Schizosaccharomyces pombe: one gene and its partners. The protein of the gene in region 1 interacts with the protein of each later gene in a biochemical or structural test. Each region holds a gene or a part of one and is shown in the gene's direction. Other genes may lie near its edges.

What was found.
Region 2: of the proteins of tea4 (region 1) and kin1, one has a biochemical effect on the other in vitro, tested with the Schizosaccharomyces pombe proteins (one study listed by BioGRID).
Region 3: the proteins of tea4 (region 1) and for3 form a complex in vitro, tested with the Schizosaccharomyces pombe proteins (one study listed by BioGRID).

Annotation. Positions count from the first base shown.
Region 1 is NC_003423.3:586,834-596,252, forward strand, and holds tea4 (tip elongation aberrant protein Tea4), read left to right. Parts: upstream 1-1,525; 5' UTR 1,526-1,895; coding exon 1,896-4,361; 3' UTR 4,362-4,601; downstream 4,602-9,419. Other genes in the region: fap1 (L-pipecolate oxidase), read left to right, coding at 1-948; dynamin-like GTPase fzo1, read left to right, coding at 7,639-9,419. UniProt on the Schizosaccharomyces pombe protein: Cell polarity factor essential for the bipolar localization and function of structures containing the cell-end marker tea1 during the normal cell cycle.
Region 2 is NC_003423.3:2,690,479-2,700,995, forward strand, and holds kin1 (MARK/PAR-1 kinase Kin1), read left to right. Parts: upstream 1-3,853; 5' UTR 3,854-4,689; coding exon 4,690-7,365; 3' UTR 7,366-7,650; downstream 7,651-10,517. Other genes in the region: rpl2502 (60S ribosomal protein uL23), read left to right, coding at 353-450, 719-1,046; emp46 (lectin family glycoprotein receptor), read right to left, coding at 1,540-2,694; ATP-dependent RNA helicase Mak5, read right to left, coding at 7,811-8,456, 8,494-8,782, 8,834-9,689, 9,726-9,881; mrpl39 (mitochondrial ribosomal protein subunit bL33m), read right to left, coding at 10,495-10,517. UniProt on the Schizosaccharomyces pombe protein: Has a role in establishing the characteristic rod cell shape. Important for cell polarity and is involved in directing growth to the cell ends.
Region 3 is NC_003421.2:996,730-1,008,202, forward strand, and holds for3 (formin For3), read left to right. Parts: upstream 1-6,020; 5' UTR 6,021-6,400; coding exon 6,401-10,786; downstream 10,787-11,473. Other genes in the region: vcx1 (CaCA proton/calcium exchanger), read left to right, coding at 1-87; mitotic spindle checkpoint protein Mad3, read left to right, coding at 959-1,891; SUA5/yciO/yrdC family protein Sua5, read right to left, coding at 2,213-3,439; SNARE protein Ufe1, read right to left, coding at 4,291-4,895, 4,984-5,218, 5,416-5,535. UniProt on the Schizosaccharomyces pombe protein: Involved in controlling polarized cell growth. Required for interphase actin cable formation and microtubule organization.

The DNA of each region.
Region 1 (9,419 bases):
TATCGGGACATGAGTCTGGAAAACCTGACAAAAATGGGTGTGTCAGCAGCAAAGTTTCAAACTACAGAAGAATTGCGGAAACTTTTTCCAAAATGGATTGGCGAGCTGAATGATGGAGAAGCTGGGTATGCCAATTTTAGTTCTGGATGGGCCAACGCTGAGCAGTCTGTGAAATCCGTAGTTAATTACTTAGCACATGCCGGTGTTTCTTTCATTAGCGGACCTGAGGGAACTGTTGAAGAGCTTATAACAGAAGAAAACGTTGTTAAAGGCGTGAGGACTACTACTGGAGCTTACATGGCCGAAAAACTTATTTTTGCTACAGGTGCATGGACTGCATCTCTTTTACCTAATGACCACACACGATTCTTGGCAACCGGTCAACCAGTCGCATACATAAAATTGACTCCTGAGGAGTACATCCGCTTTTTGACAAATCCTGTATACTTAGATTTTGATACTGGATTTTATATTTTTCCCCCTACCCCCGATGGTTATCTAAAATTTGCACGCCATGGATACGGATTTACGAGAATGCAAAATCTTAAATCCGGAAAAGTCGAATCTGTTCCACCAAAGAAACCTCTCGTTTCTCCTATCCTGCCCAAGGAAGCGGAATTAGATTTACGCAGAAACCTTCAACGTACTTATGGCGAAGAAATTAGTCAAAGGCCATTTTACAAAACCCGTATTTGTTATTATACCGACACAGCCGATGCCGAGTTTGTATTTGATTATCATCCAGATTATGAAAATCTGTTTGTATGCACAGGTGGTTCAGGCCATGGATTCAAATTCTTTCCAATCCTCGGGAAGTATAGCATAGGGTGTATGTTTCGTGAGTTAGAGGAGCCCTTATTGAAGAAGTGGAGATGGAAGAAAGAAAATTTGGAGTTTGCTGCTTTAGACCACAGCCGAGCTGGACCCTCTCGACAAGAGCTAAGCTAAGATGTGCAATGCTAAACAAAAGAAAGGCTAGCGTCTATCTTTCTAGGCTACCTTATTTTTGTGTTGAATACTAATTGATTCTTCTTCATTCGAAATATTACGAGCATTGAATGTATACACATTAACAATTAACATCAACTTTATAACATCCAGACGATTATGTCGGTTTACTGTTTTCGAATAAAAACAGGGACATTTTCTATACCCTTTACATCGAACTTTATGTCCTGAATTAATATTACAAAGCATGCTAAGTAAAACCTTTTTTTCAATTATTTTAGATATGCATCATATAGCTAACTCGTTGGCTTTAAGAGAACTAAAGCGTCACAGCTTACTGAGGTTGTTTTTGATACTTAGATGCAATTCAAACATTTATAAATAATTAAATTTGACAATCTAATTAGAAATAACATAAAAAAAAAAATCAAAATAGAATAAAATGATCAAGAAGCTTTTTGTTTAAATGCAAATACCGTACTCGCTTTTATTCGTTGTATCGGTTAAACGACGTTTTACTGTTACGTTATCTGCCAATCTCGGATTTACGTAGCATCAAGTACGCATATCTTACCGCAATATTTAGAGGCGACTTAGTTTGTTAATATATTATATTTTTACACTAGTTATTGGAATGTTAACATTTTGAAGAGCAAGATCGTTTTATTTTCAAAAAGATTTTGCTGGATTCGTTGTTACGATTGACGTTCTAATCAACCCAACTTGAGTGTATGTTCATCAGGATCGGTATTTCCGTTTTCACTAGCGTTTTAGCCAGTATCCTGAATTTTTACCAGTTATAAATTGTATGAGGTTGAGAGTTTCTTATCCCTTTGCAACGTGTTTGTTTTTATCATTAGGAGTAGCGGTTTTTGAGACCTGAAAAGTGTGTTTGCTGTTTTTGCACATTTGTTCAAGTTCATGAGAGCTAACTACATTGTTTCAATATGTTACACATGAATAGTGCCAGTAGTGCTGACAGCATGGAAATTATGGAAAGTCATTTTGACCCGACACAACAGAATGATAGCACTATAATAGAAAGTCGTTACTCTCCGGAAGAATATCTGGAGCAGTCATTCGAGATACAAAGGATTATATCAGGAGAAAATAGTGAACCCCAAACTGTAGCGTCGCAAGAAATTAGCGATTCTCAAGAAGAAGACACTACATTAACATCGTCTCAATTTGAGGATTGTGGGACTGAATATAATGAAGTAGTGGAAGATGATGAGTTTCGCTCTGAAGATGAGGATGATTTTATGGACGAAGAGGAAGAATACGCTTTATATGAGGCAGAATTGAGTTCTTCCCCATCTATTCACGAAGAGGTTATTGATTGCAACTTTGTTCATGCCATTCGAGGCTTCGAAGCTACTGTTGAAGGACAAGTTGATGCTACTAAAGGAGACATGATGATTTTATTAGATGATTCTAATAGTTATTGGTGGCTTGTAAAAATGTGCAAAAATTTGGCTATAGGCTATTTACCTGCTGAATACATTGAAACTCCTTCAGAGCGTTTGGCTCGATTAAATAAATATAAAAATTCGGAAACGTCCAATTCTCAGCAGTCTGTGACTCTCCCGCCTTTAGATATTGTGGAAAAAACCTTGGAGGCTCCATCCCCAAATTTTCGTATAAAACGCGTTACCTTTACTTGTTCTTCTAATTCTTCCGATGATGAAATGGATTCTGAAAATGATTATGAGGCAATGGTAAACCGAACTGTCGCAGAGAATGGTCTTGAAATAGAATTTTCGGACAGTAGTGATTCTTCTCTCTCTGCTGAGTACCGTTCCGAATCCGAGGATCATGTAACTGATAGTCCTGCTTACGTGGATCTTACTGAACTGGAAGGTGGGTTTAACCAGTTTAACTCTACTTCTTTTCAAAGTACATCCCCCCTTGGTCTTGAGATTGTTGAAACAGAAATTAATGGCTCTTCCACTACTGCAGATTCGAAAAATTCACATTCCCCCTACTCTAAATTCTCATCAGCTTACCCAGATGCTGAAAATTCGAATATTAGTAAAATAAATATCTCAATAGCAGGAAACAAGGAATTATATGGCAATGCCACCCAGTCTGATCCTTCACTTTACAGTACTTGGATAGCAAATAAGCATAAAACTGCTTCATCTGCAACCGTTGATTCTCCATTGCGAAGATCACTATCAGTTGACGCAATGCAATCGAATGCTTCATTTTCTTCTTATTCGTCTACATCTAATACTGATAAATCATTGCGGCCTTCTTCTTATTCCGCCGTATCGGAATCCTCTAACTTTACTCATGATGTATCTCGTGATAACAAGGAAATCTCATTGAATGCACCAAAATCAATTATAGTTTCTCAGAGTGACTCTTTTGACACATCTAATGTTACTCAGGATGCCCCAAACGATGTAGAAAAGGAACCAATTTCTGGTCAAATGCCCAATAATTTATCAGTTCAATCCTTAAAACAATTAGAAGTGTACCCTATTCGACATTCGGTATCGATTGAAATGCCATCTGAAAAGCTTCTTTCCCCTCGATTATACTCTTCATCTACTCCATCCTCTCCAACAAAAGGATTCCAAAAGGATGACGAAGAAGACAGCGAAAACCGAAAGCAAGCAGATAAGGTTGAATTATCACCAAGTTCGCTTCTTCGTCAGATGTCTTTACCTGTTGATTCTTCCTCGCAAAGTGATGCACAGTGCACAACGTCTTCTGTATACATAACAGCGGAGCGTAAAGCATTTTCTCAATCTTCAATAGATTTATCAACATTGAGTAACCATCATGTAAATAACGAAATAAACAGAAGAAGTTTTGCGGGTGGATTTACAAGTTTAGCAGATGAATTAAGCGAAATGCGTGAGCTACTACACGAATCCCCGGCTCCATTGGAGTGTAATGAGGAAATGGTTATACCTACACCTGAGTTAGATGCTTCAAGTGCAATCCCGAGCTCTTCGATTTCACACGATGAGGATTTGCTACCAAGAAAGAACACAGAGGAATCTACCTCTTCTAGTTCCTTTTCCTCTCTTATCACTTCTCCTGCTTCTTTGCAATATGATGAAAATCCATTCAAGCAATCTGTGGTTGCGGAATTAAATAATAACTCCTCTTCGGTGCCATTCGTTGATTCGGCTCATGCTTCTGATATCCATGCGTACGATAACGACCACGTTAGTACTAAAAACAAAGAATTTAATCGTCGGTTGAGAGAGTTTATATTGGATCCAGACTCTCTTAGCGGGCTATATTGGAGTGTAAAATCAGCGGGAGTAAGGGCATCCCGCCGAGTTTCTCGTAATATCGAGGGTGAATCGGTGTCCTCGGACTTGGATGATATTTTTGCTAACGTATTGAAGGGTTTATCAGATGAGATGGCCTCCCTCTTAAATACGAATCGCTGAAATCTTTGATTAATTTAAAAGTTATACCATGTTTTTCCCCTTTATCAAACTATTTACACTCGTTATAAATCAGTTTTCTGTTTGATTAAACTGTTTCAAAAATTTGTTTGTTAATGTCTTTATGTTTGACTTTTTTTTCTTGTTAATAATATTTTTTAATAACTAACAGCATACCATAGTTGTATAAAGGTCTAAAATTCAATGTGCGGGTATGATTCGGATTATTGAGCGCTATAAAATAAATGTGTTTAAGTAAAATCTACCGAAGTATTAAATGAGCTAGTAATTATCTTATATGCCATTTCAAATTATAGTATCGCTGCATCATATTTTTTGTACAGTAATGCGAGCAGTGAAAATGTAAACTACTCAAGCAGATAGTAGTAGGCTTTGAGGGTATGATAGATTTTATGCATCCGTAAAAATAAGCCAGTGTACTTTACTTATGTGGCATGATGAATCAAATTCAATAGGGTATTAAAAAACAAAATTAGCACGATTTATAGCGATTCTTATTAAAAAATATTTCTCTTCTCTTTTAAACGAAAAAAATGAGATATTAACAAACGATGAACATGTTCATTAATCATTAATATGAGAATATCATCTGCTTCTACTTTTAAGGTATCGGATTCATCATCAAACCAACGGTGTATTTAAATGTATATTTTGTAAGCGATAGGCATATTGATTGTCTCATAATAAATAATTTATGTTTTTTCACTGGTAATTTTCACGCTAAATTAGATGATAATTAGCATCTTGACTACCAATTTCTCACCATCATCATAATTGAAGGGCGAAATTTTCAAATTTGACTTTTAATATTCTTTTAGTAATTGCACGAAGATATGTAAAGGAACATGGAAAAGTAAGAATGAACAATAAAATTTTTATTCCTTTACAAATTTACGACTTGTTATTAATTGGAAAGACAAAGCAATGTTATTTCTGTAACGAATTGAGTTTGTAGGAAGAAACAAAGTTCCTAAAAAGTATGCAAATATCTTCAATATGCGCTAAATAAAGAAAACAGTTCGTACAGTAAACAAAGTCAATAATTCGAAGCGACTAAATAACGAAAAATTTAGAATGAGACGGATATGAAATGCATTTTGAATTGACCCGTTTTCATTTGTACAACCACCATACATGATTATTCTCAACATTGTTTTTTATGAATGCGAAATAAGAAGTATTAGTTTAAAACATCAAGTAATTTTTTAACACGCCACCACGAGTGGACAATGTGAAGTTTACAACTTGTGCTAATTTTTTTGACTACTCAAAAAATTAAATATGCAGCACAAAACGAGAACTGAATTATATGCAAACCCTTATACACTGAGCCTTAAAATTCATGATTTTTTACTTGCAACAGAAAGTAATAAGTAGCTTAAAAAATTAGAGGAAATCTGTTAATCGTTACAGTGGATTCTCACATTAGACAATAACTACATTATTACGATAACAAATCATCGTTCTAAATCACAATATTTTATTATGCTGTTCATTATTTTGTAAACATTAATTTTGTTTGTATTAAAGTAAACCACTAAACCAAAGGAAAAAAATGATAATTAAGTTTGATTCATTAAGAATCAAGATGAAGAAGAAATGAATGCAATAAACGACAATGAAATTGTGAATTTAACAAGGCGAAACAACGAGTTTTTCGATTTCATTAGTTGATGATAACAGTCAATTAGTGAACTGCTATTTTAAAACGAATAAATAAAACCATTATTATAATATTCAATGCCCAGTGTATGTTATTCACGGAACCTTTCAAGCAATGCACTTGCTCATCCAATTCGTCAGGAAATGAAATATGCAATAAAAATACATGTGACATACTTTAAACAGATTTATGATTTGTTTGAGTAAATCACAATCATAAAGGCGCTTCTTTATTGCACATTCTTATGAAGAAAAGAAGCCTCGTGTAAAAAGCGACTTTATCATACAATTAGTAAAGTTAACAATATAATTAGGCTTCACTTTCGGGGTTCATCTCACGCAATGGAACAGCTGTGTATTCATTCACTTGCTGTTTGGCCTCATAACCTAATGATAATTAGCATACACAATTAAAAAGATATCATATTAAATTTACCCATCTTTCTGATCAAGTGTTGGATATGCCAACTGTAAACAATGATCACATCCAAGTTATTTTACAGCACTGGCAAGTTTCAACTTTCAATTGAGTAATTCCTTTCTTATTATTTACAATTCTTACCTGAATATGGAGGCAATGTACTTTCCTCCTCTGAATCATATTCTGGGAGGGGTCCTTTTTCCAAATCGATTTCATGATCTGTCTTCAATTCATCTTCTTCATCTAGAGGACTTTTCAAAGAAGTGTAATTATTCTTCATAATAATAAAATCATTCTTTATTTAATAAAATACATGCGCGAATTAATTGCTATGATTGCGACAAACCAAACAGCGAAATCAAGAATATTCACTTTGTAGTCCAATTCCAATCGCTTTAAAGACTTTTTAACAAAATAATAAAATCGTTCAAACAAATTTCCAACTAATTCCTTCAAACAATGGCATAAAAAAAGAAGAACGAAAAAACTGAACGAGGCAGTGAATTACTTCTGACACATTTATTTTGTCACTGCCCTTTTTATTCACCCCAACTTAGTTTTCCTTATACAGCATACTGTTAAAATTGGTTCGCTACGTTGCGTGTCACTAATTTCATATTTGTAAAATCATGTTTTTTAATATAGACATCAGTTAAGAACAAAGACTTAGAAGATTATAAATGGAATTAGTCGCTGCATCTCATTCCTCAGTTCAATTATTAGCTAAATCGGTGACTGATACTGTTAGGCGTCTTATAACAATAAATATAATATTGTCAGTTAACATAACGCACAACGCTATATGATTTATGTATCGCTAAAACAGATATCAAACGTCGTCGATGTCAACAGTATACGGTATACTTGAAATTTCGTTCCTACGTCTTATTTATGATGATACAAATGTAAATTTTTGAATTGTTGTGCTCAAGGATATAATAGAAATTTCTTTTTTAAAGCTTTATATGTAGAAAGATGATGTCTTTATTTTCTCATATTCATCTACTAATATGTTGCTCCCATTTTTTTTCATTATTCGTACTAAGGTGTTATGCAAACAGTATATGGTTGCAACGCATATGTATTAATTTTTAAGGAAGTTGCTCTTTGCATGAAATTTCCAATCTTTAGGGATCAAGTTCAATTATATAAACGCAAAATTCAACTTTAAATGATATGGAGAAGAGTGCAAGGCAATTATCAGTAGCCGAACAGAATGGTGAATCGGGAAGATTAAATAATGGATATACTTCAAACAATATTCAGCAGTATAAAGATGAAACTAATCGTCATCAGTTCGAGTATAACCAAAATAGGAACCAATTGTTAAGATCCATCCATATTATTCAAAATCTGTTAAATGAACTGGATAATTATGTAGATCGATCTGACTGTTTGTTCCACAGTGTTTGGAGAACCGATAAAGAAAAATCTAAATTTTCAGGAAATTACTATCCATTTAGTCCGTCCAAAATGAATGTGATCACCATTGATCTATCACTGCGGTCGTCGTCGACTGCTGATGAAAAATTAATCAGTCAATTGGGCGAGGAAGCTCATGAATCTCTACTAAAAGTACACATAGAGAAAGCAAATAAGCATCTCTTTTCACTTTTTTCTAGAGTAGAAGATACCTCTTCGAAAATCCTTATCACCGGGGATTTAAACGCAGGTAAATCGACCCTTTGCAATGCTTTGGTACACAAAGACATTCTACCAGAAGATCAACAACCTTGTACTGAGGTATTTTGTGAAGTGCACGATGCTGAACTCAATGATGGAAAAGATTGTGTTCACGCTATTCCTCATGGACTCACGTATAGTCATACTGACTCTTCAACATATAAAGTTTTTCCAATCGAGGATTTGAAACGCCTTGTTTATGAGACGGAAAATTGGAGCATGCTAATTGTATATGTCAATGATGGAAGACCGGCACATGAGAGTTTGCTTCACAATGGAATTACAGATATTGCACTTATTGATGCTCCTGGCTTGAATACTGATTCCATGAAGACAACTTCAGTATTTGCTTGCCAAGAGGAAATTGACGTTGTCGTTTTCGTTGTAAACGCTGAAAATCATTTTACCCTTTCTGCTACAGATTTCTTAAGAAACGCCTCCACTGAGAAATCCCACATTTTCATTATTGTGAACAAATTTGATAACATCAGAGATAAAGAGAGATGTAAACGATTGATCCTTGAACAAATTCATACCCTTTCTCCTGGTACTTTTGCTGACGCTAAAGACTTGGTACATTTTGTGAGCTGTCGTGTCGCTCGTGATCCAAATAATCGAGAGGATGCTCTATATTCTTCTTTTTTTCAGATGGAAAACTCTCTCCGTAGCTTCATTCTCGAAAATCGCTCAAAATCTAAACTTGCCCCGGTACGTAGATACTTGTCAGGGTTAGTCGGTGATATACTTAATATCTGCGAATATAACATAAAACTTATCGATTTTGATATTAATCACTTGCAACAACGTTTGACGGATCTTTCTCCAAAATTTCGTAAGGTAAAACATGAGCAGCAATTTACCTATCAGAAGAATGAATCTTTAGTTGAAGCGACTGTGCAATCTATTTCTCAGCATACACATTCCGAATTAGAAGATGCTATTGACTCATTAGGTTCTTTTGCTTCTGTCAAGTATTCTGGTTTTTTCTTTGCCTACCAGTATGCGATATCCGTAAGAGACGCCATGCAACAATATTTAGAAGAAAAATTGTTGGAGTCAGAAGATTATGCTCGAAAGAGGACCGAAGAAGCTGTCTTATGTATTCAAAAAGATGTAAAAGATAATTTTGACTCCGCCGTCCTTCCAGTCTTTCATGCCAACCAAATGTTTATTAAGAAACATAGATTGCAACTGCAGAAGCATTTTCGATTTGAACTTGGCTTGCTTGATTTTATAGATCTAGACCTTACTGAGAGATTAGGAACCTGGAGCGC
Region 2 (10,517 bases), 2.1 Mb from region 1:
CGTCTTTCAAATAGGCCGTTGCAATGATAATAATACCAATTGATGAATCTCACTTAACAAAATACAAAGAAAATTTGATTTCTTTGATCGTTACCCGCCAAAAAGCACGTAAACAGGATGTTGTGGAGAAGGACAAATTACCTGAACACAAAAAACTTCCATATATGCTGTCTCGCTATTCGACATGATGGTGGCGATAACGATAACGATCGGAGATCTGCGTACGAGATCATTAAACCTGCTTCCTTCGGTAAACAGATACCCTTAGGGTAGGTTTAGTGACTGCCTCAAATGTTAGGGAAACTTTGAAGTACTTCAGACACAGCGAAGCCTTTTACACTATAGAGTCAAGATGAGCGTTGGTAAAGCAAAAGGAGCTCAAAAAACTGTTCAAAAGGGGATTCACAATAAGGTTGCTCGTAAGGTTCGTACTTCTACCACCTTCCGTCGGTAAGTTTACTTGTTTGCATCGTTTGCTATGCTTCGCTGTAGCTTTCCAAGAATTGTTAAGAATGGCGTGAAACCAGGCCGAATAGTGACCATTTTAAATGATTAGGGCAAGAGATTCTAAAGATAAAGTGAATAATTAGAACCTATTCCAATTGATTACTTGAAAATTCATTATAGGCTTGCAATTCTTATGCATACCGAAGTTTATAGAATATTAACGTGATTATAAAAAAATAAGTTAAATTTTTTTTCGTACTAATTGTTTTAGCCCCAAAACCCTCGAGCTTGCCCGTAAGCCCAAATATGCTCGTAAGAGTGTTCCCCATGCCTCCCGTCTTGATGAATACAAAATTATTGTCAACCCAATTAACTCGGAATCTGCTATGAAGAAGATTGAGGATGACAATACTCTCGTCTTTCATGTGCATTTGAAGGCTAATAAGTTTACTATTAAAAATGCTGTCAAGAAACTTTACAGTGTTGATGCTGTTAAAATTAACACTTTAATTCGTCCCAATGGTACCAAAAAGGCATTTGTCAAGCTTTCTGCCGATGCCGATGCCCTTGATGTAGCCAACCGCATTGGCTTCCTTTAGCTTAAAAACTAGTTTAATAATTCACTTTTGAGCTCCGAAATTGCATCATGTACTTTCTAGTCTCGGTACAAATATATAATTTTTTTACCCTGCATATTTCTGCTAAGAAGTGTAGTAGGAGGAGATTGAATTGATTCGTGCCTATTGGCATTAGTAAAACATTTAAAAACAGGAAATTTGTAAACAGATATAGTGATGTTAAGTTATGGAACTAGAGGACCCCCATTTTAGGTAAGTGTATATCTTAAGATATGAAAATTATATATTATTTATAAGATGGTTAAGATAATAGCAAGTAATGATTCAAATATGCATTTCGTATGACTAAAAATTTTGATGATGAAAAGACAGGACAACCACGGTCAAAAGAAAGGATAATCGTCAAAACACAAACAGATGAGCAATTCTTTGTATAAAAACACCACTTCATAACTGCGCGTTTTACACGCCTATACCGTTTCTGAAAATTAATGGCAAATCACCCCAATCGAATCTATAAGTATTTATGTCTTCTGCGATCACGACGAACCAACATTATACCATAGGATACAATTGCACCCAATAACAAGAAAACCATAAAGTTTGTCAAGTTATATGGCGAGTAAGCATTTCCCATTGCCTTTTTTATCTCCTTTTCAAATTCTGCTAAATGTTTAGAAGTACCATCTGCAGTGGAAGATTGCGCAGATAGAGAATCATGTAGCAATTTTTCAAGGGCATTAAATCTTTCACTTGGGAACTGTGAAGTAGAAGAAATATCGTTCAAACGCTCCAAAGCATTAGTCAACGCAAAATGCAAAGAGTCCATCTTCTGGCGTTGAGATTCTACTAGATTAAAAAGCTTTGCCAAATCAGCCTTTATTGCGTTCAAACCTTCAGTGTCAATAACTGTTTGAGGACTAGTATTGTCACCGACGCTTTGCTTTGTATTGGAGGTAGGATTCAAATTTTCATTATTAGATGTATCTGGAGGAAGTATATTGAGGTTCGATAAAGCCACCAAGTCTTTTGCAGACGTAGATTGAGAGGAAACTCCAAAATAATACCCCTGAGGCAAAATGACATCTTTTACTTGAAAGCAGGGCTTGTCATTCACAAATAACTCTAATCCAGATTGGTCACCGTATTTGAGAATAATATTGTTCAAAGCCTCAGGAGAGCTCTCAATGGTACATTTAGCAAAGGGCGGAAGATCGGGGTCAGTAAACTGAGCAAGTTCAAAACTTTTATCATTCAAATAGCCACGAACAAAGATTTTACCAGTTTGATCGATTTCCTGGGAAATCAGAAGGCCGTCCCACTTATCGGAGGCGCCAAAAACTGGACCTTCTGAACCGACAGCGCTTGTATACCAAATCGCAAAAAAGGTGTTTTCGTTCTCTGATACATGAGCTACAAATGAAGTCGATAGCTGCCAGCCAACTTGTCGTAAAACGCTAGTTGACCAAAGGGATCCAGAGCGTGCTTCATTACTGTCTTTGCTGGTTAAGTAAACGTAACCTGAATCTTCATCCACACTACCGTACCATTTCCATTCAACGGGAATGGCGTTACTTAGTGAATGAAGTTGCAAAAACTGAGATTTAGGGACGGCGTAAGCCAATGTACAACAAAACGATAATACATGAAACAGGGAGCAAAACTTCATTTTTCTTTACTTCGTTTAAAAATAGATAAATGAATATTGTGAAAGTATGCCAAAAAAAAGAGAGAGAAACAGAAATTGAAAGAAAGGATTATTTGGTTAAGACCAGGGACTTTTTGCTCTATTACTTATAGAAAAAGATTACTCCAGTCCTTAAATCCTTTAGTTACCGGGAACCAAAGTAAATAGATGTATTTTTGGTTTATTAGTTACCGTCAGAAAGTTTATCTACAAAATTCCGTAAATGTGAAATGACAACAACCGCCAACTCAATCGTAGTAAATAAGGATGATATTTCGAAAGTCACCTAACGAGTAATGTTAGACTTCCCTATATTTAAACATGGCAGCTTTCTGAGCAACTATGGATGTTGCAGTAAAATTGTATATGAATTGGTTTAATTGCTCGAAAGCATTGTTTGTGTGCAATGCAACTTTTCAATGCGAAGTGTATTTAATGATTATAACAAGCAATAAATGTAGTAAAAAAGACCATTTCTCTACTCCACATCAGAGACAGAAACCAGTTTTTGTTTTTTTTTAAATTGTGACTAAAAAAACAAAAAAACAATCAATGAATTAAGAGTACCGTCATGGTCGATGACTAATTTTAGTCGTTAAGAAAATTAATTGATTGTTCCATCGAAATAAATTTCATAAGCTTAAGAGACATGAAAAATACTTAAAACAAAACTCTAGAGTAACTTTAATATTTCGTTAATTTAAAAAGTTTTGACTTGGCACGATAATTCAGATGTATGAATAATGTAAAAACACACGCGTATTTGTTCATTTATGAGGAAACTGTGATGGTGATTTATTCATTGTATTTTTGAATACGCATATATTTAAAAGATTTAAGTATACAATTTCAATTGAGTCGTTTGCTGCATACTAAATCCATTTTTAGATACCATGTTTTTCTCATAACCATAAAGGAGCATGCTTGCGCCTCGGTATATAGCAGTCGTGATCTTTTAAAAGGGTGTGTGGGAAAGGAAAATACAAGTCGATAAATACATGAAATAGATTAAAAAAATAAAAGTTTAAGAAAATAGTAACTGGTAGGCTATTTTGAAGTCTTATCTCTATATAAATCGATACTAAACGTAATGAATGCTTTAGCATGGTGCATTCATCCATGACATCTCCACTGCTGCTTTAACCATTCCGTACAACAACAAAGCCAGTGCATTTGGGTTAGGGAATCCTTCCTTTACAGTTTCTGGCTTCATTTCCTTTTTTTGTAATAATTTAATTGAAAGGAAAGAATTGAAGAGATATTGAATGCCTTAGGGGACGTAGCATAGATTTGCAGTGGTTGTTAGACAGGAAACAAATTGCGGGAAAATCTCAAAGTCGTTTGACTTTCTGTTGCTCAATAAAAGAAACAGGAGACCTGTTTATACTAGAATTTCTCAAACAAGAGTTTTTACGACCGAAAATTATCGAAACAACTATATTTTTTGGTCGTTTATCTTGTTCATCGAAAAAGCTAAGCCGGTTTACCTGTTCTTCTTCCATCTTCCTGCTGCTCTAATAATCTCATTTGTTATCTTTTCAAGCTTTGCTTATTTGTTTTGATTGTAGAAACGGCTTTATCGGCTTGTGAGCATCCTTCTTTTCACAAACAATATTGATTGACTACTAATCCGTTTCTAAGCCACGAGCATTCTTGTAACTAGATCGCTTTGCTTATTTGTTTTCATCTCGTACAAGAATTTCTTCGTCCCTTTATTGTTTTCTTTTTAATTTTTCGGATTTCACGCTTTTTCGTAATATTTGTCATCTTAGGTTCGCAAGGAAACTGGTGCCACGATTTACGATAACAAAGTATTTTTTGTCAACCAAGATTTACACGTTTGTATTATTTTCACAAAGTTATTATTTTATTACATTACTCAGTCGGCTTATTTTGAGTTGATTGCTAATTTTTGCCTCTCAAAAGTTCAAGCAGTAATTTTATATCTGCTTTTTTGTCTGTTGATCCCATTTCCTGATGGAGTACCGTACCAATAACGTACCCGTCGGTAATGAGACAAAGTCTGCCGCTTTAAATGCGTTGCCGAAAATTAAAATATCTGACTCGCCCAACCGTCATCACAACCTGGTGGATGCTTTTATGCAATCTCCTTCTTATTCTACACAACCAAAATCCGCTGTAGAGCCTCTGGGTTTATCTTTTTCTCCTGGGTATATTTCTCCTTCTTCTCAGTCTCCACATCATGGCCCCGTAAGGTCTCCATCAAGTCGAAAACCGCTACCAGCATCTCCTTCTCGTACGCGGGATCATAGCCTGCGAGTACCTGTATCTGGGCATTCTTATAGCGCTGACGAGAAGCCTCGTGAAAGAAGAAAAGTCATAGGCAATTATGTACTAGGTAAAACCATTGGGGCTGGTAGCATGGGGAAAGTTAAAGTTGCGCATCATTTAAAAACAGGTGAACAGTTTGCCATTAAAATAGTTACCCGTCTTCATCCAGACATAACGAAGGCAAAAGCTGCTGCTTCTGCTGAGGCTACTAAGGCAGCACAATCAGAAAAAAACAAGGAAATTCGTACTGTTCGCGAAGCTGCCTTATCTACTTTGCTCCGTCATCCGTATATTTGCGAGGCAAGAGATGTTTATATTACTAATAGTCATTATTATATGGTCTTTGAATTTGTCGACGGTGGTCAAATGCTGGATTATATTATTTCACATGGAAAATTAAAAGAAAAGCAAGCTCGAAAATTTGTGCGTCAAATTGGAAGTGCGCTGAGTTATTTGCATCAAAACTCTGTGGTGCACAGAGATCTAAAAATTGAAAATATTTTAATTTCGAAGACCGGTGACATCAAAATTATCGATTTTGGTCTTTCAAATTTGTATCGACGTCAGTCTCGCTTGCGCACGTTTTGTGGTTCATTATATTTTGCTGCTCCAGAACTTTTGAATGCTCAACCGTACATTGGTCCAGAGGTAGACGTTTGGAGTTTTGGAATAGTACTTTACGTTCTTGTTTGCGGAAAAGTGCCATTTGATGATCAAAATATGTCTGCCTTGCATGCGAAAATAAAAAAAGGTACCGTCGAGTATCCAAGTTATTTAAGTAGTGATTGTAAAGGTTTACTATCAAGAATGTTGGTTACTGATCCTCTCAAGCGAGCCACGCTTGAAGAAGTTTTGAACCATCCTTGGATGATTCGCAATTATGAAGGACCTCCAGCTTCGTTTGCTCCGGAAAGATCTCCGATCACTCTTCCATTAGATCCTGAAATTATTAGGGAAATGAACGGTTTTGATTTTGGACCACCAGAAAAAATTGTTCGTGAATTAACTAAGGTAATTAGCAGTGAAGCTTATCAATCTTTAGCTAAAACTGGATTTTATTCCGGGCCTAATTCAGCTGACAAGAAAAAGTCTTTCTTTGAATTCCGGATTAGGCATGCTGCGCATGATATCGAGAATCCAATATTACCATCTCTTTCAATGAACACTGATATTTATGATGCGTTTCATCCTCTCATTTCAATTTATTATTTAGTTTCTGAACGTCGTGTATATGAAAAAGGTGGAAATTGGAATAGGATAGCAAAAACACCAGTTTCTAGCGTTCCTTCTTCGCCAGTTCAGCCAACTAGTTATAATCGTACTTTACCGCCAATGCCGGAAGTTGTTGCCTACAAAGGCGACGAAGAATCACCTCGTGTTTCTCGAAACACATCACTTGCACGCAGAAAGCCTTTGCCTGATACGGAATCTCACTCCCCTTCTCCTTCAGCAACCTCCTCCATCAAAAAGAATCCATCCAGCATTTTTAGAAGGTTTTCATCACGCCGAAAACAAAATAAGTCTTCTACATCTACTCTTCAAATTAGTGCTCCCCTTGAGACCTCACAATCTCCACCAACACCTCGAACCAAGCCGTCTCACAAGCCCCCAGTATCTTACAAGAATAAACTTGTTACCCAATCTGCTATTGGAAGATCAACCTCTGTTCGTGAGGGCCGCTATGCTGGTATCTCCAGTCAGATGGATTCACTAAACATGGATTCAACAGGGCCCTCTGCATCCAATATGGCAAATGCACCTCCGTCGGTTCGTAATAATCGTGTACTTAATCCTCGTGGTGCTTCCTTGGGGCATGGGCGGATGTCAACTTCTACGACCAACCGCCAAAAGCAAATCCTTAATGAAACGATGGGCAATCCGGTGGACAAGAACTCTACTTCCCCATCCAAATCTACGGATAAATTGGATCCTATAAAGCCTGTTTTCCTTAAAGGCTTGTTCAGTGTTTCCACTACATCGACTAAAAGTACTGAGTCAATTCAACGAGATCTTATTCGGGTAATGGGCATGCTTGATATTGAGTATAAAGAGATCAAGGGTGGTTATGCATGTCTATATAAACCTCAGGGTATCCGAACCCCTACAAAATCGACTTCTGTTCATACACGACGTAAGCCTTCTTATGGCTCTAATTCTACCACTGATTCTTATGGATCGGTGCCGGACACAGTCCCATTAGATGACAATGGTGAGTCGCCTGCCTCTAACCTTGCCTTTGAAATATATATTGTGAAAGTCCCTATACTCTCTCTTCGTGGCGTTTCTTTTCATCGAATTAGTGGAAACTCATGGCAATATAAGACATTGGCTAGTCGTATTCTTAACGAATTAAAATTGTGATTGACTATTAAAGCTGCATACTTTTTTGAAATTATTTATTTCACTTCATTTTACGTTATGACCACCTAATTAGTGTTTATGGTTTTTAATACTAAGACCGCTTCAGGTTGAACTATATTAGACGTTGAGCTTTTTTAGAGACGAGAAACTAGACCTCTAATGCTCTTGCCTGTGAAAGCAAACAGATGCCAGAGGCATGTAAAGTCAACGTGTAAATGCACCCTCGTTCGCTTATGTTTAAGCCAGATACATAAGGCTACTATAATTAATGATATATCTTATAGTAATTCGTTCACTTATATAGTCTAATACGACGTTTTTGTTGATACTTATCTAGCAGTAATATTATTATTAACCCATAACTATAAAATACCAAAAAACCATTGTATAAAAACCTAAATGAAAACCCGTGCTATATGAAAAGTAGCTAAGTAAAAACCCTTTTTTACTTCTTCCTTTTTTGCAGAACTTCCAAAGCACTAATTGAGTCCATTCCGATAATATTATCATGAACTTCTTCGTTGGCTAATTTTTCAGCCATATTTACAAGACCGCTCGTCAAGTATCTACCAGAAAATCCTGTTCTTATTTTTTCGTGTAATAAGGGAGCAAGCTCTGAGCGAAGATGCGCTATCTGTTTCTTATTCTTACTAGATTCAGATTTTTTTGGCAAATCCGGATCCTCATCATCAGAACTTTCAACTCCCAATTCCTGAGCCATCGATTTTAACCAAGCTTCCTCACGTCCCACTCTTCCGTCTTTTCTAGTGAGATTTACAATTTTATGTGCTAAGACGACCCTCGTTTTTAAAATGTCCAATATTGACATATCCACAGGAAAATTAATAAAGGTCTCGATTTTCTTTTTCAACCGATAACATAGTCGTTTCAGCTGTGACAGTTCTTTAGGACCACACATTAAAATTGAAACGCCATCTTCGTTAGCGCGAGCGGTACGACCGCTTCTATGAACATACATATCAGCTGTATGAGGAACATGATAATGAATTACGTGCGTAACACTAGGAATATCAATACCACGGGCGGCCACATCAGTGCAAACAAGGACTCCTTTAGGATTATTTTTGAACCTTGTTAGTTAGTAACATATAAATAAAAATAACTTACTTTTCAAGAGATTGAAGTCTTTTTTTCTGATCTAATTGAGCATGTAGAGGATAGGATGGAACTTTTAACTCATTTAGAAAAGGAGTGATTCTCTTAATATCCTCAATACCATTGGCAAAAACCATGGTTTTTCCAGGATAACGCATGATCAAATAATAAAGATACAAGTCTTTTTCAGCTGGAGCACACTCTATGAGCCCTTCTAATACGCGGCTTGCCACTGCACTTTGAGGATTGGCATCCAAAAATTTGGGTTTGCCAAAGAAACGAACCTCCTTCAACATATTTTCTATGCAGTCGTTAGTAAGTGAGAAAGTAAAATATTTCTAATTGAACATACCCATCGGGCTGTTGTATTTCTCAGTTATATTGCCTTTCATATTCTTTTTAAGGCGTTGCTGTAAACCCTCATCGAAAGTTGCAGAAAAGATAAAAGTCTGACGCTGAGTATGCATGGGATTTCCTAAAATTTCAAGTAGTTTGCTCAATTCTTCAAAATGACTTTTTTGCAGTAAACGATCTGCTTCATCTAATACCAAACACTTGATTTTCTTAAAGTTTCCTGTAAGGTTGTTCTCGTTGATGACAGACCACAAGCGACCCGGAGTTGCAACCACAACGTGAGGGTGCTTGTTAAGAAGCCTCTGCTGCTTCTGTACTGCTAATCCACCGGTTATAGACATAACACGAATGTTAGGACTTGGCTTGATAAGTTCAAAGTGTTGGCAAATTTGATGAGCAAGTTCTCTGGTAGGAGCAACAACTAGAGCCTGTACGTATTTTGCATCTACATTGCGAAGACAATGCTCTAAAATGGGAATGCCAAAAGCTAAAGTTTTTCCTGAACCGGTATCTGCCTTTCCAATGATATCAAATCCAATAGAAGCTTCAGGAATTACCAATGATTGAATTGGCATCGGTTTTGAAAAGCCAGCTTTAGATAACGAGCCAAGCATTTCCGGTGAAAGTGAAAAGTGTGCCCAAGCAGAGACGTCCACACCATGAGAATTGTGTTCATCCTCTTCTTCTAATGTAGAGAATTCATTATAGTTTTTAGAAGTCACCTTTGATCCTAGTGAAGTCATTTCAATAGTAGGGGAAGTACGTTTTCCCTTTTTCTTTTTTTCACTAGCTTCTTTTTGATCTTTTTTTCGCTTTTCCGGCTTTTTATCTTTTTTTTCATGAACTTCTGGTAACTGTTTGTTAATAAATTAGATAATAAACAATTATACCTCATAAATTACTTCTTTCATAGCACCTTTTGGCTGATATTTGATATCCACACCTTCAATCTCTTCCAAGCCCATAAACCCATCGAAGTCGTCTAGGTGGTCAGGAAGCTTGACTTCCTTCCATTTAAGCTCGTCCAATGCAGCTTTCTTTGGCATCGTGATCAAAGCGTTGAAAAGTGTAGTAGTTTGCTCCACATAGAAAATGTAGGTAGACAAAAATTTACACTAAGAATTGGAACGAGGGAATAAAAATAATTGCATCGTATAAGCTAATAGAAAACAAATAATTAAATGTTACGAAGACATTAAACGACGATTGGTTTTAGCAATTCAATGCTTTGCCATGTTTTGCATAATTTCTAAATAGTACAACCATTTTGTATTAAAAATATTGCTTGAGAATTTTAGAATCGAATGATCTGAGCTACAGTGCTTACAAGAGTAGTAAACACAAACGATGTTACTACTATAGTTCTAATTCGGCTAGCAATTGGTACAGGTGAAAGGAACATTCTTATTACTTTGAAAATTTGACATCTCAGTCCTTCTCTTAAATAATAATAATAAAAATAGGAATTATAGATATGACAGAATAATATAAGGGTCTTTATGTTCACGCAGCTGTTTAGAATTATGTCGTATAAGATGTAGGTTGGGAAGCTAATACATAATTAATGCACATCCATAAAGTTTTTGAAGAAAAAAGGTAGATTGATCGGTCATAATTTAGCATTTCATTTTCAGACTATCATTGAAATGGAAGAAGTTTTTATTTCATTTTGGATTCTTCGA
Region 3 (11,473 bases), on another chromosome or scaffold:
GATGGTGCTACTCATTGGCTTGAAGGTGTTCAATTACTTGCTTTGTATGCGATTGTTGTTCTCGCCTTTTTCTACTACCCTCAATAAATTTTGTCGTTCCCTCGCTAGTTCCTTATTATGTCTACTCTTATGTGCTTGATATACTCTCTTGATTTCTTTGTGTTTTACTTTACGAAACTATCATACCGAACTTATTGATTTCTTATTTTTTTATACTAGATTTTTTTTTTTTTTGGTTTCTGTTACAAGGATATTTTGCAGACTTATTTTTTAGTATGCAAGTGTTAAATTATGCAGAAATCTCCCATTTTCGCAATGACTACACAACTCTAAATTTCTATTGCAGGTCAAGCCAATATCTGCTTGTTTACAGTAGCTTTTTAAGTCGCTCATTCTTCAGTCTCAGTTTCATGTGTCTTACCAGCTATGAAAATAGAAAATTAATTTTTGAATAAACTCTTGTAAATCGTTGTTTATAAATCTTCATTTTGTTTATTTTTATTAGTTGTTTTGTAGGTTGTGTTTTACATGATTTAATAATACAAGCCATTAGTATGTGAAGTGGTTAATTTTAATTCTTCTTCTGTTTCTGTATATTCGAAGAAACAGAAAAAACTTCTTATCTCTTTCATTGGACTCTTCCAGGCGTAAGTATGATACCCTCCCCCAGCGTCAAGTTGGCACTTACCTTCTAATTTACGCACAATCTTTCATACATTCCTACTCTTGCTCTTTGAGTGTTGACACTTTTAATTTTATACAAAAGCTTTCAGTACACCTTCTATTAAACTATATACTGGCTATTTTCGTTCTTTCAATAGAATTGTACTTGTCTAAATAAACTTTCCAATACTACTACACTCACATCTCCTTCTTTGTTTTATTTATTTTCATTTAGTGGAAGGTATAGGGTTCTCTAGAAAAGGTTTACTAATTTTTTGGAAGACATTGACTACAAATGGAACCATTAGATGCTGGCAAGAACTGGGTGCATATGGATGTCATTGAGCAGTCCAAGGAAAACATAGAGCCTAGAAAAGCTGGTCATTCAGCTTCTGCACTTGCAAAATCTTCGTCGCGAAACCACACCGAAAAAGAAGTTGCTGGTCTGCAAAAAGAAAGGATGGGCCATGAACGAAAAATAGAGACGAGCGAGTCTCTTGATGATCCACTACAAGTTTGGATCGATTATATTAAATGGACCTTGGATAATTTCCCTCAAGGTGAAACAAAAACTAGTGGACTGGTAACATTGTTAGAAAGGTGTACTCGAGAATTCGTACGAAATCCGCTTTATAAAGATGATGTTCGGTATTTACGAATATGGATGCAATATGTAAACTATATAGACGAACCGGTTGAATTATTTTCTTTCTTGGCACATCATCATATTGGACAGGAGTCCTCGATTTTTTATGAGGAATACGCAAATTATTTCGAGTCTAGGGGATTGTTTCAAAAAGCTGACGAAGTTTATCAGAAAGGAAAAAGAATGAAGGCTAAGCCATTTTTGAGATTTCAGCAAAAGTATCAGCAATTTACTCACCGTTGGTTGGAATTTGCCCCACAATCATTCTCTTCAAATACAAATTCGGTTAATCCTTTACAAACGACATTTGAGTCAACAAATATCCAGGAAATATCCCAGTCTAGGACTAAAATTTCTAAACCTAAATTTAAATTTTCTGTTTATTCAGATGCGGATGGTTCTGGAAAGGATGGCCAACCTGGGACCTGGCAAACTCTTGGTACAGTTGATCAAAGGCGTAAAGAAAACAACATATCGGCTACTTCTTGGGTAGGCGAAAAGTTGCCTTTGAAATCTCCAAGAAAATTGGACCCTCTTGGGAAATTTCAAGTTCATTGTGATGAGGAAGTATCGAAAGAATAACCGATAAAGAAAAGATTTAAAGTATTGGCGTTATTAGATTAACAACTATTGTACATCATGACTCCCGGAATAAGAAATAGGTTGAAACATGCGAATTTTAAGGGTTATACGAACTTAACATAAAGCATCTTATTTATACTACGATTTGCAGCTTTTTTTTATATTTTACTCTCAAATTAATTATAGTCAGCCATAAGTTAATGAATATGATATAAATAATTCTTTTATAGACAATTTATCAAAATAATAAACAGATAGCTCGATAAGTAATTACACCTCTATACAAGTAAAGCTAAGACCCCTTAGCTATAAATATTTTAACTAATGAGAAGGCCCCTCAAAAACCACAGAAGCAGCTTTGCCCAAACGATTCATGATAGCTAGCCCTTCATTTTCCTCGGAGACACCTTCAACCAAAACAAAATCAACTCCCTGCAGATCCAAATCTCGCAATTGAGCGAATAAATTCTTTGTAATTTCATGTCCATCCCTTCCCATATGCAAAAATACAAACGGACAGTGAGAAGGGAATGACTCTTCGTTCCAACGTTTACTACATAAAACACCAATCTTCTGCTTTTCCTTAGTGATTCCCTGCTCAGATAAATACTTTTCAAAAACACCGTATGCATCAGATTCTGTGTAATTGACAAAAAGTAGCACTTTGGCAGTTGGAGAGTAGTGTCTGTATTTCATACCAGGAGTTTGAGGGATGAAATCTGTTTCCATATCACTTTTTTTAGCTACGAATACTTTTGTTCGCTCCCAGGCCCCTCCAGAGCTTTGAATTTCTTCTAAACTTATGCCTCCTGGCCGTAAAATTACGGGAGGATCACAAAGTCCATTTACAACTGTACTCTCCACACCAACACCGCATGCTCCCCCATCTAAAATTAAAGGAATTTTACCTTGTAAATCATTGTAAACGTGCTTAGCTAACGTAGGAGATGGCCTTGTTGAAGCATTAGCCGATGGTGCAGCTAACGGCGAATCTGAAATAGAAATAAGGGCAAGCGCAACAGGATGTTGAGGCATGCGAACAGCAAACGTTTTTTGTCCTGCTGTCACAATTGGTGAGACCGGGGGATTAGCCTCGTCAACAACTGGCAGCAAAATTGAGAGTGGACCAGGCCAAAACTTTTTAATCAACGGTAAATAAACTTTTGGAATAATCTCCTCTGAGTCATGTGCTTGATTTTTTACTTCTGACTTTGCTTTAGGATATGCACTCAACAGCAATCTACGTAGCTGATCCAGAGAAGCAACATGTACAATCAAAGGGTTATCAGCAGGGCGGTTCTTTGCTTTGTATATTGACAAGACTGCTTCAGTCCTTCGGGCATCAGCACCGAGACCGTAAACTGTTTCGGTAGGAAAAGCAACTGGATAATCGGTGTTTCTCAATATATTCGCGGCGTTCTCTAATGCAGAACGAGTTTCTGAGGGAGGTATGGACACCCTTGTGTGTTCAAAAGGATGTTCCGAATCATTACTAGGCTTTTCAAAAGAGATAAGGCGAGTATCAACTGTTTGAATTTTTGTTTCCATTGTCAAGGAAGAAAACCTAAGTTTCTGGCTTACTGAGGCCAATTTTGCTATAAAATTGTAATACTTCAGCTTGTTTTATGTTAATTGATTTAGAAAGAAGAAGCTAAATGCTGATAGAGAGAAGGGTGAAGTTGATTGCTATTATTAAGTTGAAGCGCATCATTGCTGGTTGTCGACTCTTGCAAAGTAAGAGAAATAATTGTTGAAGATATATTTAAAAACTCAAGATTATTTTACTCTAAATACGAAAATAAAATCTCGTTTGAGAAATTTTACTAGAGTAGTGATTGACGACGATCTTTACTTAAAATTTGAATTTAGCTACAGAGGTTGTAAAAAAGAAATGTAAGCGCGACAATGATTTCACGAATGAAAAGAACCCACTTACTGTTTTTATTTGTGGGTTTTTTTTTATCGTTTCTGTTATTTGGCAGGGTAAGAATATATTCTTCCAATACATCCCTTTTGACTAAGCATTTAGTTAATTTGCTAATGTCCAATGCATCAATCTAAATTATATAGCTGAATGTTTAACAAACAAATTTGACTTTGAATTAATCGAGACTGATTGTGAACTTCTATAAACATTCGATCATACTAGATTTTTCAAGCTACAATTTTACCATAATCTATTTCATAGTAAATGGCCAGAAAATTTTTGGAAAACTAACGTACCCAAGATGAATTATAAGGAATTTTTATTTGGGCGTGCAAGGAATGGTCGAAAGAATAAGCATAAACATTATATTTACATGAGATTATAGACATGAACTTCACATGATCAAAGAAGAACGAGTTTCATTCCTTTGTCATTATTGTTACAATATAAAGTTTCAGAAGAATGAAGAGAATTAAACAATACGATCCAAGGATAGCAATAAAAGTCCCATAACGGTAAAGATGCAAAAAAGCAGACGAGCGGTCCGACTACTTCTAGATTTGGCCTTGATTAGTTGTTGATTACCCCCAGACAGCGAATCCATGACATTAAGGGCATCATCATAAAGTTTTTCAGCCGCACTTGATTGAATAGATAGTTGAGCGGATATTTCCGACTGAAGTCTAGTAATATCAGCCAAAGATTTCCCTGTATCACGTAAACGTTCCATAGTATGTTCAAATTCTTGGAGTAAAACATCGTTCTCTTGCTCAAGTTCTTGAAGTTGCTGTTGAGTAAAAAATGTTTGTAATTCAGATTCAGGGATCTCAACAGCTGAATTTTCATCAGTAGGATTTTTTGTTAAAAAGTCTGAAGCAATGTTTCGCTTTTCCTGACCTCGTTTTAATCTCAGATCTTGTAAATGATATAGAACAGAAGAAACATCGGAAAGTTCAGACTGCAGATACCACAGAACAGATGAATGGTGGGCGACTAAAGTTTCCTTTTTCGATAATTTACTAGGGTCTCTTAAACCTTGCAGCCAACCACTTTTTTTAGGGATTTGACTTTGTTGTTCTACTCATGCAATTAGCAAGCATGTCCCTGTGTTTTGTTTATAATTTAAGTAAACATAATTTTACCAGTATTAAAATTTTAAGCTTACCTTTCACAATCTCCTGCAACTTAGCTATTTGATGAATACAGCTACTGATTGCCGAAGAGACTTCATGTTCTATTTCATCCCTTTGAACCTCATCTAGCTCAAGCTTTGAAAGCTCCTCAAGTGAACACTCCATTAAAGGTTTTGAGAGTCTTTGGACATTTGAAAATGTTCTGTCCTTTAAATAAGCTCCACGAATCTTTTTCAAAAATACTAGAAGATTAACAATCGTTTCATGCTGCTAACGTTAGCAATTTGAACTCTCTGATTAGATATAGAAAGCAATAACAAAAGTTAATACTGTCAAAAATTTAAACCAATCCCACTCAATAATTAATCGTATATTATGGTAGCGCATCTCCACAGTGATCAATTGAGTTGAGGTTAAATTTCCGATTGGTTCAATAATTACAGAAAACTCGTCCTCAAACTTACAATTCTATATCCTTCAGCCAAAAAAGGATCCGTATAACTTATTCTTTTCAAAGGAATGTTTGCTGCATCAATGTCGCCATTTTTTGTTAATCCAAAAAACTCATTCGTACGACTCGTCATTCAGAATTTGAGATGCTAAGAAAGGAGAAATATAAATCCCGGGTTAAATGAATTTCAAATTAACAGAACAGATGTTTAGAAAATGGTAGCATTCCATATCCCCTTATGAATAGTGACACGGTAAACGGAATTGAGAGACTTAAAGGTGCTCGTAACAAATGTTCAAAAAAGCAAAAAAAAATACTCCATTGTACGAGTTTTGTTTATTTACTTCAAGTCGATGTCTACAATAAATGAAATTAAGCTAAAGTTTCGCAATTTTTGAAGTATTTAGAAATGAGCTATTTTCAAGTAAACAAACAAACGTAACCAGTTATACACCTCACAAGAATGGAGCGCAGTCAAATTGTTTACAATTTTTGAGTTATTTTTAAAAATTTAGCTTGAAAAAAGTTGTTTGTGTCCTTTATCTCGAAGAAATAAGGTTTTTGTTTTGCTGGTGTTGAGGTTGCTATATAATAACATGGTTTGGGCGACATAAATTCATCCTTTACCAACGCTCTTCGAAACGTTAAATTTGCATATTTATCAAGCATTTTATTGCAATAAGGCTAATATTATTAACTTTAATTGATTTTAACCTTCAGTATTTGCTTATTGTTATACAATATACAGTGATTACCCCTTTTTCTAAAAAGCTGTACTTTCGCATCACATCTGATACCTGCGTTCCTTTCAACTTTTTAATATAATCATCCAAACGATTTTAAAATCTGGTTGACATTACCGCGGAGCTTTAAGCTCTGCATTACGATATATTTTCTCTTTCACCAAAGATTGCTTTCTTCCTTACCATTTATTCCTTAATCAGCTTCGTTAGTATCTTTTTTACAACCAAATTACCAGTTTGGTATGTTAATTCATAATGGCATCTAAAATGCCTGAAGGGTCTCCCCCTACTAGTCGTTCTATTCAATCTCGAAATTCCAGTTACTCTACCTCTTCCAACGAACGTATTGGAACACCCTCTACGATTTCCCTATCTGAAAATTCAGATCTTTCTAAATTACAAAGTACTAATGATTTTGAGTCGCGAGAAGATCTCTCTCTTACTTCCGATGACAATAATGACCCCGAATATGTTATGTGCTACAACACTGTTTATCACCAAAAGACAAAAATAAATGATAAACTTTTATCCGAAACTGAGCAGTTACGTAAAATTTATCCTTTAGAATCCCGTGTATTTCCAAAACCTACCATTGTTAAAGAGATTACCAACGAGCGAACCAAGCGCTACACTTTTTATGACGATGATGCTCCTCTTACTAACCAACATACTGTTTTAGATGAAGCAACTTATAATCGAATTTTAAAAAGGATAGACTTTTTCATTGAAAAAGTCGTTGAAGTCCCACCTACTTACCATTTTTTATCGCTATTAAACGTTCAATTACGTATTCAACCAATTTGGTGGATGGATGAATTTGCTGAAAGAAATGGTATTGAAAGTTTACTGTCTGCTTTAAGAAACCTGGGTCACTATCCTGAACGTGCATCTAAAACACCTCTTGAATCCCAAATAATACAGTCATTATTTCACTGTTTGAACAGCGAAAACTGCCGTCGTCGTTATCAGTCTTCAGCTAAATGCTCTGTTCCAGGATTTAATGCTCTAGGTACTATTGCTGAGACTGTGCTTTCAAAAAGTTTAAATTCAGCTCGCATGGCTACTTTTCTCCTTAAATTCCTTTGTAATAAAAAGGGGTTGAGTTACTTCAAAGCTGTAATCAGGGCTTTCGAATGGCTCGTCGAGCAAAAGTTATCAAAAACTCGGTTTAGCGCATGGATGCATTCCTTTAATGATGTGATTACTGGTGTCCGAGTTTGTGCTGATTCATCTCCTCAAGCGATTGTTCACATGGACGAATTTGAAGATACGGACTGCTTGATTGATTACCTTGTTGCAACTTTAGCTCTCATTCGAGATTTATGTGCTGCTCCACCGGATTTGCAACTTAGGTGTGCTCTAAGGCATGAATTGTTATCTGCTGGTCTTCAAAAGGCCATCGACTCTTTGTTAAAATGGAGAAACAGACACGTCCGTGATGCTCTGCAATTACTAATCAAAGAGCATAATGCAGATGCTCGGCGTTTCCGAAGTGGTAGTGATGTGAATAATGTAGATAGGAAATGCGTAAAGAAACAGATGAACTATAGAGAAGAATCACATACACCTCATGGAAATACTACTCGAAAGACCTCTACTCCTGTATCTAATAATCGACCCACAACTCCGGAACAACAGGCTGTTTGGGATGTTTTTCAAAGAATTTATACTCGCTTTACGGGAAGTGAGGGGTCTAAAGAAAGTTTCATTAAACTACTCGAGTATTTTGTGACTGAACCCGACAACGGAAAAATTCAAAAAAGTATGCAGTTATTGACTCACACGCTTGAGGCACTGGAAGGTTTCAAAACTGCCAAAGCAGATACTAATGTCGGTCTAACGATCCTATCTCAAAGACTTTTAGACAAACTTGGTACCGCAGAGGAGATTGCAGAGTACAAGACAAAGTATAATGGAGCCATGCTTGAAAACAAGCATCTGAAAGAACAAGTTGAATCTATGCTTTCCCAATTGAACGTTGGGCCCCGCGACCCTATGCAGTTTCTGAAGAAACAATTGGATGAATTGAAAGCTGAATTAAATCTTAGAGACAATCTCCTCGCATCCATGCAGCGCGAATTTGAAACGCGTTATAGAGCTCAAATTCAAGCATACAATAAGTTGCAATCCCAAATGGAACACGTGCAGAATTCAAATGAGCAGCACTTACAACCGGGCTTACTTAATAAGGTTTCAAAAAGTTTTGACAGTGTTCATAGAAGAAACCTTTCTCAAGATTCTCTAGATGCGATGACCGAACAGTTTTCTTATCATGTTGAGCCAAATATTTTAAGTGGAAGTGGAATTCCTGTTCGTGTACATACACCATCCAAAACTGAAGATTTGGACGAATCTTTCTCCGGAAGTGAAATATCTTCCTCGCCTTCGCCATTGCTACCAGATGTTTCCGACACCGTAGAAGAGCAGCAAAAGTTATTACTTAAATCTCCTCCCCCACCACCTCCTGCTGTAATAGTTCCAACACCAGCTCCAGCTCCTATTCCAGTTCCTCCTCCAGCTCCTATTATGGGTGGACCTCCACCACCTCCTCCTCCACCTGGTGTAGCAGGAGCCGGACCTCCACCTCCACCACCTCCACCCCCTGCTGTTTCTGCTGGTGGAAGCCGATATTATGCTCCAGCACCGCAGGCGGAGCCAGAGCCTAAGATTGACGAAACCAGCTTAACAGAAGAACAAAAGATTCAACTTGAAGAGGCCAGAAAACAGCGTAAAGCTGCTGATGATGCAGCGAGAGCAGCCATAGAAAAGTATACAAGTATCCCTAGTCTTCGTGATCTTCACAAGCCAACTCGTCCTTTGAAGCGCGTCCATTGGCAACGGGTTGATCCACTGCCTGGACCAAATGTTTTCACAAAGTTCTGCTTAAATTTTGACATTACCGCTAAAGTTTTTATAGATAATGGGCTTCTCGATTTTTTGGATGAGAAATTTGATAACACTCCTAGGGAAGATTTTGTTGCAGTGGAAATTTCTGACCAACGATCTTCTCTTTTACCTGATACAGTTGAACAAAATATGGCTATTATTTTGCGGTCTGTATCTAATATGCCAGTGGAGGACTTAGTTCAAAAGTTTTTAGTCGAACCCGACTTTTTACCGGCCTCAATTTTATACTTTGACCGCGCTAGCCTTGCATCTACCAATGCCTATACCGATCCATTCATTCCTTATAGTACGGATTACACAAAGAAAAATCCAAAAGAACCAACGGCGGATGTGAACAGTTTATCTTATTTTGAGAAATTTTTTGTATTGTTCGTCGTTAACCTTCGGCACTATTTCCAAGAAAGGATGAAAGCTCTAAAATTTCGCTCGACGTTGTTTGGTGATTTGGAAATACTTGAAGTTCGTATGAAAGAAGTCATTGACACTTCGGACAGTATTATGGAGGATAAAAATTTTGCTGAATTCTTTCAAGTCTTACTGATTATTGGCAACTATTTTAATGAACCTTATGATCGAGCATCTGCATTTTCCTTGTATATGATATATCGCCTTGAAACTTTACGAGATAGTTCCTCAGCTCTAACTTTGATGCACTACTTTGATGAGATTATACGAACTCGTTTCCCTGAATTATTGCAGGCGGAATCCACGTTTAAAAAAATTCAGAGTGTTTCCGGATACAATATAGATGCTATGGTTGCGGGTGTAGATGGTGCTTATGATGAATTCTGCGACTTTCAAACGTCTCTCAAAGACGGTGCTCTATCGAAATGCGACCAGCATCATCCAGATGATAAGGCGTACGATATTCTTTCCGAATGGTTGCCTGAGGCTAAAGAAAGGATTAGGAATATTAAAAAGCTTAAAACTGATATGCTCACTAAACTTGAAAACACTGTGAAGTATCTTTGTGAATATGACTCCATTGATAAGGTTAGAAACTCTTTCTTCAAAAACCTGAATTCTTTTTATGAAATGTATTCCATCGCCAAAGCAGAGAATGAGGAACGTTTTGAGAAGGAGAAAAGACGAATCATGTCGGAGGATCGTGACAAACTGATTCGTGGTCGCCAAAAGACATCCATTGTAGCAAAATACAGAAATAAAAGAGAGTTACCAGAAGACTCTGATGATAAACAAGATACGGCCTCCAAGGATAAAAATTCCTTAGAAACAATTGATGAAAAAATGGAAGATGCCAGTAAAATAGAAGGTGATGCTAAGACCGGAGATGATAACGAAATGGAAGATCTTGATAAAATGGAAGACCTTGAAAAACCAGATTATGCTGAAGAAAAAGATCCATATATAACTGTAATGTCAGAATTACGATCTCGTATACAAAATGTCCCTAAAAGGACTGTTACTGTTTATTCCGATGAAGGCGTTGCTACACTTGAGCCCGGAGCTCAAGGGGATGATGTTGTAGATAAGGCCAAAATGATTCTTGAAAAAATGGAAGGACATTCCCAACTATTAACTTCTTCGGCAAATCCTGATGAGGAGGTTTTACGTGCCAAACTGAAAGCTGCTGAGCGTTTGCAAAAACCTGCAATTCCTAGAACACGCCGTAAAGGCCACACTGAACCAAAGAGTGCTAAGTCACTACTTGCAGAACTAACTAACGGGTCTAATGCTTCAAATCTAGTTGAAAATGACCGCCAAAAACAATAGTTGCTCCATTGTTCTTTCTAGGATGGATTTTTAGAACAGTATATCTGTACATTACATACATTGACGATTTGTCTGAAAGAAGTTAAAAATTTGTGTGCCTGTATTTTTTGAAGCTGCTTCAAAATATATTGGTGACACAGTTATCTGTATTATTACGCATACCGCTTGTCGTTAAAAAGGCTAAATTTCCAAAAAACTGACAGCAAATACAATCACTTGTTTTTCCAAGTGCTTAGAAGTACTGAACTTACGTTGCAAAACGTTGTTCATTTTTGACTATCCTTTTTTGCTAAATGTCAGCATTTTTATTTGAAAAGAGACATGTTGGGATAACGATTCATTAAGGGGAGCTTTTTATTACTTAACTTCATTTTTATGAAGCTAACAGAGAACAAATTTGGATAAGCGTCGCACCAATTGTAAAAGGAATGCCCAATCGCTTTATTTAGATCGACTAAAATGTTGATGTTTGTTTGAAATCTCCACCAAAAATTTTATTCTATTGTCATCTTTATTTATTAATCTTTTTTAATCATTCGTTTAAACAGTCCTTGTTGTTTAATTATTTATTGCTCCTATTTTCAACTGTTGACCTAGCTTTTGAAATATAGGATGAAGCGTTAGTTTCCTGTATAAAACTTGAAATAAATGCAATTATGTTTTAAATTTTGTAAGTATCTAGTTTAC